2 linked regions of the Cricetulus griseus genome follow. The protein of the gene in region 1 interacts with the protein of each later gene in a biochemical or structural test. Links are inferred from orthologs where the notes say so. Each region holds a gene or a part of one and is shown on either strand. Other genes may lie near its edges.

Region 1 (3,914 bases):
TGAGTTTCTTGATGACTGGATGGGAAAATAACTTAGGCTGTAAATAAATTCAGATTAAATAATTTTTTTCTTACACACCAGGTTTTGTAGATTCACACCTTAAAAGTTGTGTTTGCACCCATACTTACATACAATGTTTATTATGAAAAAGGCAGAAAAACTGCTTTCAATCAACATGTATTGTAGGTGGTTGCCCCTAGAAAAGGATTAGAGATACAAAGGGCTTGAAATTATTCATATTTACTTAGCAAAGGTGATCTAATCCCTGGGTCAACAGTAAGGCTGAGGAAAGGGAAGAATGTGTTTACTGGTGGGGGAAGGTTGTTAGGCAGGATTTACTGAGGTTTAAGACTGGGACTACTGCCTTTGTTTGTTTGTTTGTCAGGCAGACCCTATGAGAACGCCGCCTGGACAGGAATAACAATAAGGTTTAGATGATGGAAAGCCCTAGGTTGTAAAGACCTTGGATACTGTTCTTTTAAATTAACCAACAGAAATGATGGGTGGGGGGCACGAACTCTCCCCGTCCAGATTCCATCACTTACTAGCCATATTTGCTCATACTACTTACCAGAAGGACTGTATTTCAGTTTAAATCTCTGAATAGGAAGTCTCGGGGATTACAAAGAGGAAAAGTTTTGCCCCAGGAGCCAGACAAGTAGAGAAAAAGGGGGCACTTTGCAGAGGGTAAGTGGGGGAGTCGCCGGGCACTCGCCCCTCAGGCAAGGAAGTAATGGGGGTTGCAGGGAGAAGTTAGCGGTGCTTACGGCCCCGCCGACCCCGCAGCGGCCGGCCGTTTCTTACCCGCAGGTGCAAATCTGACACAGACACCTGTTCCTCATGCCCTTGGCTCCAGCGTCCTTCTCCGCAGAGCTTCAGGCGCAACCTCAGAGCAGCCACAGCGTCTGCAGTCGTCAAGGCAACCGCGGGATTGCACGATGAAGGGCGTGACGTGACTTCCGGTGGCGTTCAAGACGCGCGCGGGTCAGAGGTCGCAGGCCTGTAGGCCCCGCCTCCCGGCGCCTGCAACTTCCGGCCTGAGTTACTCCTGGAGCCTGAGAGGCGTGAGTGAAGAGCAGCGTGGAGCCGGTGAGTGGGGGGCCTGCCGGAGATGCCGGCGACCGGACGGTGGTGGGGACCTGGGGGCTCGTGGCGGCAGGGCTAGGCGAGCAGGGCACGGAGCAGCTGCACCTCGTAGGAACCTGGGACCCTCCGGCAACGACTCCCGGAGCCCGAACAGAGGAAGAGCTTGCAGACCTCGGTTTGCCTTTTTAATTGGAGAGGGATGGGCGATGTGTCATGCACCTGCTGTGTTCCCAAGCACGAGATCCAAAACTTTTTAAGGACATTCGGTGCAGTCTCGGCTGAGATCCTTAGGTCTGGTAAAAGCCAGCACGCTTGACAGGAGCGACAGGTTTTCGGAGGGGAAGTGGAGAAGAGAGAGATACCCACTTTTCCTGTGGTCGCCTTGAGCCACGGTACCTGGGTGCGAGGTGTCACTTAGCTGGGCGTCTCTGCACTCGGCTCCCAGCTGCGTGATTCATCGCGCCGCAGATCCGGAAACTCCCAGCACACTCCACAAGTGCTGTAAAGGTGTGTGGACTTTGCAGTGAAACTTGTTCTTGGGCTTGCACTGTCCTAACCCGTCAGAGGCAGAAGGAATTAAATGTGGCTAACCATTCCTTGGGGTCTCAGTTGAGAGATCTGAGGCGGCTTGTGAACACCAGCATCTGTCTCTCAGTCCGTCCACTTTTGTTGTTGTTGTTTTCTCCCTGACCCTTAAACTTTGTACCACTTGTAATTTGCATTTAATTTTTTAGTCACAGGATATAAGTAACCATGGTGCTCAATGGCGTTGATAAGATGATTCAACTTCAGAAACACACTGCCAACATCAGAAATATCTGTGTTTTGGCTCACGTTGACCATGGTAAGACTTTTTAAAAAATGGCTTTTTATTAACAAAGGGGATGTTTCTACGTATCATTGGAGTTATGAAAGTGATGCGTGCTGTGTTTTTTTTTTTTTTTTTTTGTGTGTGTGTGTGTGTGTGTGTGTGTGTGTGTTGTCAGAGAAGCATGCTGTAAAACATTTGTAATAGGTTACCTGGTAATTAGCATTCTTCTGCATAGGATTTCATATGCTTTTAAATTTGAACTTGAATCTTTGTTAAAATATGGATAAGTTTTTGAAATGTTAAACATCTACGGTCTTGGTAGAGGGTATCCCCGAGGGACCTTACTTAATTCATCACATACTGAATGAGCATTTGCTAAGTTTGTGGCATTTTGTTACATTTATCAAGAGCTAGACATCTCTGAGGAGCCCAGCTGCCCAGCTGTAGAGGTTTCAGGGATGAATCTGGGCAACATGATGAGATGGGGGAGGGGGGAATTGATAAGAGTTTTGAGAAATGGAGGATTGGGTAGCCAGATTGGGTTAAGAAAAGCTGTCAGATATGCCTTTTGAGAGGAGACTCTAGCTGATAGGTGGGGACAAGCATTTTAAGTGGCAGTGTGTGAACAGGGACAAGAGTGACTAAAGTGTAGATACAGCAAAGGCCCGGTTAGCTAACACTTGTTTGTGGGATTAGGGTAGACATTCCTTGACACCATCAAACTGCTTCATTCTGAGTCTGCTTGCCAGTTGGAACTTTTTCTTCTAGTAGCTGCAGCTCAGTTTAGAATGGCCTGTGAAGTCAAAACCACTCAGCATTTTAAAGGTGAGGGAGTGGCTGGGGAAGAGGCAGGCTAGGTCCTGTCTCTTAGAGCTTTTCAAGCCTGCAAGGCTCTAAGAGAAGGATTAAGTGTTCTAGCTCTGTAGTTAGACATCCTAAACTCTGAGTTCTTTTCAAATTACTTTGCCTATTTGAGCTTCAGTGTACAGCCTATGTAAAAGGATGGTTATGAGAACCATTCAGCAATGAAATACTTAGTCATGAAAATCGTGAGTAACATTTTTTTTATTATTGTGTAGGGAGCCATGGAGGGAAAAAGCAAGCAAGGGTGAAGTACTAATAGATTTGATTAGACTGGTATAGGTGCTTGGGTGGGTTGAAAGGCAGAAAAGAGGCTGGATGACTCTTGGCATTAATGTGAGCTCTGAAGAGAAGGTAGTATAGAAACTGAGATAATGGGTCACTTTGTAGGAAGAACCAGCTGAGATTGGTTCTTTTATATACAAATCAGTGTCTAACTTATCCTATGGGTTTTATGATTATATGCAAGTTTGGAGGATATGAGGTCTAGCCAAAGGTTTTACTTTGTTTCTTTTTCCCTTTCTGTTTCTGTTTCTGTTTTGTTTTTGCTTTGAGAACTAAATAGATTGACCAGTGTGTATGAAACATTGTTGTCTAAGAGGTTCAGCCTTGTTTAGTAATGGGAAGTTCGCATATTTAGAATAAATTCTACTCTGTTGCACAGCAGGAAACTGAGATTCTAGGATTACATACTAAAACACATTATTTAAGATCGTCAGAGGTCCTTTTGAAAAACTGGATTGAAGGAAAAATCCAACCATTTGTTAGGCCTACCCAACTGTGGAAATTGAATGTGTCCATGTCATTCTTTAAACACAGGTACCTATTCATGACTCTTGAAATTGTGTTAACTTTGGCAATAGTCTGATAAAGGTAACTGTAAATGTATATTGATTATGCAAAAACTTTTCTTTTATTGTAAAGTAGATTTCAGGTTTAGTTTTGAAACTGGGTTACATTGGCTGCTCTGGTGTACTGCTCCATAGGCTGCACTGCAAACAACAGGAAAACAAGTTTTCTTATTAAATAAGTGAAACAGTTTAACTAGCAAATGTTGTTGAGGGTCACACATAGGTAATTATGAAAGAAGACAGTGTGCTGTCATTTCCTAGTGACGATTTACCCATCATAGCTTCCTGAGGTAAATGTTATTGCT
Region 2 (3,914 bases), on another chromosome or scaffold:
TGTGGCAGTCATGTGCTCCTATGGAAGGGCTGAAGCTGGGGTCCAGTGTCAAGGCCTTGGGATAGAAGTTGCAAGTTTCATTGCCCCGCCAGCCTTACCTAAAACTGCGGGAGATGCTCTGAAAACTATCAGCAGTTACAGGGAAGCCACTGAAGACTAAAGGGCCCTTCAAACTAAACAACCAGCTCTCACTATGAAAAGACCAAGAGGACTGTGAAGGCACAAAGCACTGCTCCTGCATCCAAAGATGCCTATCCAGAAAGGAAAAGTTCTTTCCCAGCCATCCTCTACATTTTGAGACCTCTGACCTGCTTGAAGAGGACCAGACTGTATACTTCCCCTTAAATGGGGTAGCTCCACCATCCTGAAAAAGGCGAGAGGACTTGAGAAGCTGGAGCACATGAACCTCCTTTGCCTATGAAGGGCCCTTTCCACCATTCTCTCCAATCTGGACATTGAAATGTCACCTGTTTGTTACAATACAGCTATTTCAACTTCTCATTCCTCTTTGTTTATGCTGTTTTAATAAAGCTGTGTATGCAAAGTAAGTAGACTCCTACTAATACTGTAAATGGTATTTCTTGGGATTAAAGCAGCATAAGGAAATTGAAAATTTGAGTTAAAGTGATACTGGAGGGGCTAGAGAGAAGGCACAGTGGAGTGCTTGCTGCTCTTCTTGACGATTGGAGTTCAATTTCCAGCACCCACACCAGGGGGCTCACAAACACTTGTAATTCCAGGTCCAGGGGATCTAATGCTGTTTTCTGGTCTCTGCAGGCACCTTGCACAAATGTCCACATTTGCTTGTTGATACACACACACACATCAAAAACAAAAAGAAAAAACAGCTGGGCATGGTGGTGCACATCTTTAATTCTAGCACTCAAGAGGCAGAGGCAGGTGGATCACTGTGAATTTGAGGCCAGCTTGGTCTACATAATGAGTTCTAGGCCAGCCAGAGCTACATAGTTATATGCAACACCCACCCCCATGTTATATTGGAGTTGGGTGAGGAACCATGATGCAGGAGGACCAGAAGTTCCAGGCCAGCATGGCTATCCAATTGAATCTGATGTCAGCTTCGGCTATATAGTGAGACCCTGTCTCAAAAAACAAAACAACACTGTACAAATCTCCCAAATCTTCCAACATAAAAAAATGCCAAAACAGCAAAAACTCATCAAGAAGAACAGATGTGTTAAGCTGCAGCTGGCAGAACCTACCTGCTTACAGATTTCAGTCTGGTCATCTGTTCCAAATGCACTGATGAGGTCTTCCTTCTTGGCAACCTGACCTTTGGAAACATTTACAAACACTGAGTGGGTCTGCAGAACTTCATCAAGGTCTTTTTCCCTTGAAAGGGCAGGAGAGAAAATCCTATGTAAATTCATTGGACAGTTAGAAATTCATTCACATTTAAATACAAGATGGCAACAAGATACATAGAAAGTGCTACAAATTGGGTCTGATGTGCTCATCTGAAATCCCAGCATATAGGAGGTGGAGGCAGGAAAATAGGGAGTTCAAGGACAGCCTCAGCTATATAGTATTTTCTTTGCTATTTGAAACCTTGTCTCAAAAAAACAAAACCAAAAAAGAGAAACTGAACACACACACATACACACTCTCTCTCCCAGGGGAGGACCTGTGCAGGAAGAATCTAAAACCTCAAACTCAGGACAGTATCTGTATTTTTCCACTTAATCACAGATTGGGAAAAAAAAAAAAAAACACAAAAACCACGTCATTGTTTTATGTAAGGAAACACAGGGTGTGGTGGGGCGTGGTGCTGAAGGCTTACATCCTGGAATATCTGTCCCTAGATGGCAGTAGTGAAGAACTACGCACTTTGATAAAACTGGAGATTCTAAGGGTGTGTATGTGGCATCTGCTGTACAAAGTTTAGTATTCGTATGATTAGTTTTTCGATTACTATTCCAGGAAAATGACCACAGTAAGTTTCTTTTCTTTGTGATAGTATTTGGCCTATCGGATTCCCGTATTAGTCACTTATCCAAGAAGCCCCTACCGCCACCCCCCCAATTCGGGGCTTCTTGGCTGCACATTTGTTTTGTTTAGCGAGACAGAATCACACACATTAGTTCCAGGTCGGGACTCGCAGCAATCCTCCTGCCTCACTCTCTTGAGCGCTGGGATTAGAGGCCTAGACCATCAGGCCTAGCTATGATGGAGTTTCTAGTTGGCAGTTTTTGATAGCAACAAAATCCCAAACCAGAAGCCAGTTGGAATCAAGCACATCAGGCCTGAAAGGTACCCATTACTCTCAGGGGTCGCGGTTAGGGAGGCCGGGCCTCGGTGTGGCCCGTTCGCTGGACTCTGGGCACAGGATCACTCACACGCCACTCCGCCAGCCGACGACCTTGTTTTTATAGCAGGCGATTTCGAAGCGCTTCCCTGCCCGCTTCATCCGCACCACGGCTACATTGGTCAATCTGATCTGGTTGGTGGGCGTGAAGATCGACATGGCGGCTGCTCACAGACCTCGGGCTCTCCAAGCGCTCGGCTGTTACGACCCCGCGGCGCGCGAACCCCCAAGGGTGCTAGGCTCTTCGCTAACCTACACTTGGGCAGCAGTCACTGCGCACCTGGCTACCCTACTGCGCCTGCGTCAGGCGGCGCACTCGCCGGGCAAAAAGCTAAGAAAGCAACTAAGCCTGCGCCGTGTGGCTTTTACGCCATCCGTCTCCGCCCTCAAAGGAAGGCGATCTTCGATGACGTAATCCGCGCGCGCCCGCAACTCCCATTGGCTGGTGAATAAAGTTCATTGATTGACCCGCTGGAAACATGGTGTTCTTCTAGTTGAACCGTTCTTCAGAATTCAGGAGCGGCATTCATTTTAACCTTTTAAGCAGAGTTTTAGTGGCAAAGGAGAAAAACAAAAGTGTAACGAGCTTCCATCGTCTTTCTTCAATAATTATCAACCTGTTTCCATCCTTATTTTGTCCTCCCTCTTTCGATTTTATTACCGTAAAGCGAATCACCAGGTGTGTGATGGCCCTCGCCTGTACTCCCAGAGTTTTGCAGGAACAGACAGGGTATCAGGAGTTCACGGTCATCCTCGCCTACACAGGGACTTTGAGACCAGCCTGGGCTACTTGAGACCCCGTTTCATCACCGCTGTCAAAGCACATGATCGTATATGGTTTTAGCCTTAAATACTTAAGTATATTCTTAGCAGACACTCCCAGATACATTTACTCCGAAACTTCAGTATCATCTAATATTCACTCCACACTCTACTTTCCACATCTAAACAATGCCCGCTACAGTTGATTTCAGATACAGCTAAGGTGCAAATGAGTCCACACACCTGAACTGCATACTATAGTCAGTGTCCTTTTTTTTTTTTTTTTTTTTTTTTTTTTTTTTTTTTTTTGAAACAAAGTCTCACTATGTAGCCCAGGCTGGTCTCTAACTCCTGGGCGACCTTCCTGCCTCAGTCTCTCAAATACTGGGATTAGAAGAATGGGCGGGCTCCTCCTGCGCCTGGCAGCCTTTAGTCTGTGTTTGTTTTTTCCTCCTAAGATCCCTCTTTCTTTTCTTCTCATTTAATAATCCTTTTGGCCCGGCGTAGTGGCCGGTGCACTCGGGAGGCAGAGGCAAGCTAATCGCTTTGTAAATTCGAAGCCAGTATGTTCCACCATAGCAAGTTACAGGACAGCCAGGGATATACAAGAGAGACTCTTGCTCTAAAGAGTAGGTATCCCGAATCTTGTGATCCTCCTGCCTCAGCGTCAGGAGCTCGGGAATTACAGGCCTGTGTCACTGAGCTGCCAATCATTTCTTTCATTCATTTACTTATTTGAGACAGGGTCTTTCTACCTAGCCCCGACCTACTTATGTATGTCATGGAACTCATTACGTAGACCAAGCTGACCTGGAGCTATGATGAA

What was found.
Region 2: the proteins of Efl1 (region 1) and Sbds interact in a biophysical measurement, tested with the Homo sapiens proteins (2 studies listed by BioGRID and IntAct, with this or other methods). The link is inferred for Cricetulus griseus from reciprocal best matches to the Homo sapiens genes EFL1 and SBDS.

The regions. Positions count from the first base shown.
Region 1 is NC_048596.1:114,921,275-114,925,188, reverse strand, and holds the start of Efl1 (elongation factor-like GTPase 1), read left to right. Parts: upstream 1-981; 5' UTR 982-1,089; exon of another isoform or gene 1,090-1,132; intron 1,133-1,820; 5' UTR 1,821-1,839; coding exon 1,840-1,930; intron 1,931-3,914. UniProt on the Homo sapiens protein: GTPase involved in the biogenesis of the 60S ribosomal subunit and translational activation of ribosomes.
Region 2 is NC_048597.1:109,589,182-109,593,095, forward strand, and holds the start of Sbds (ribosome maturation protein SBDS), read right to left. Parts: upstream 2,691-3,914; 5' UTR 2,486-2,690; coding exon 2,358-2,485; intron 1,354-2,357; coding exon 1,224-1,353; intron 1-1,223. UniProt on the Homo sapiens protein: Required for the assembly of mature ribosomes and ribosome biogenesis.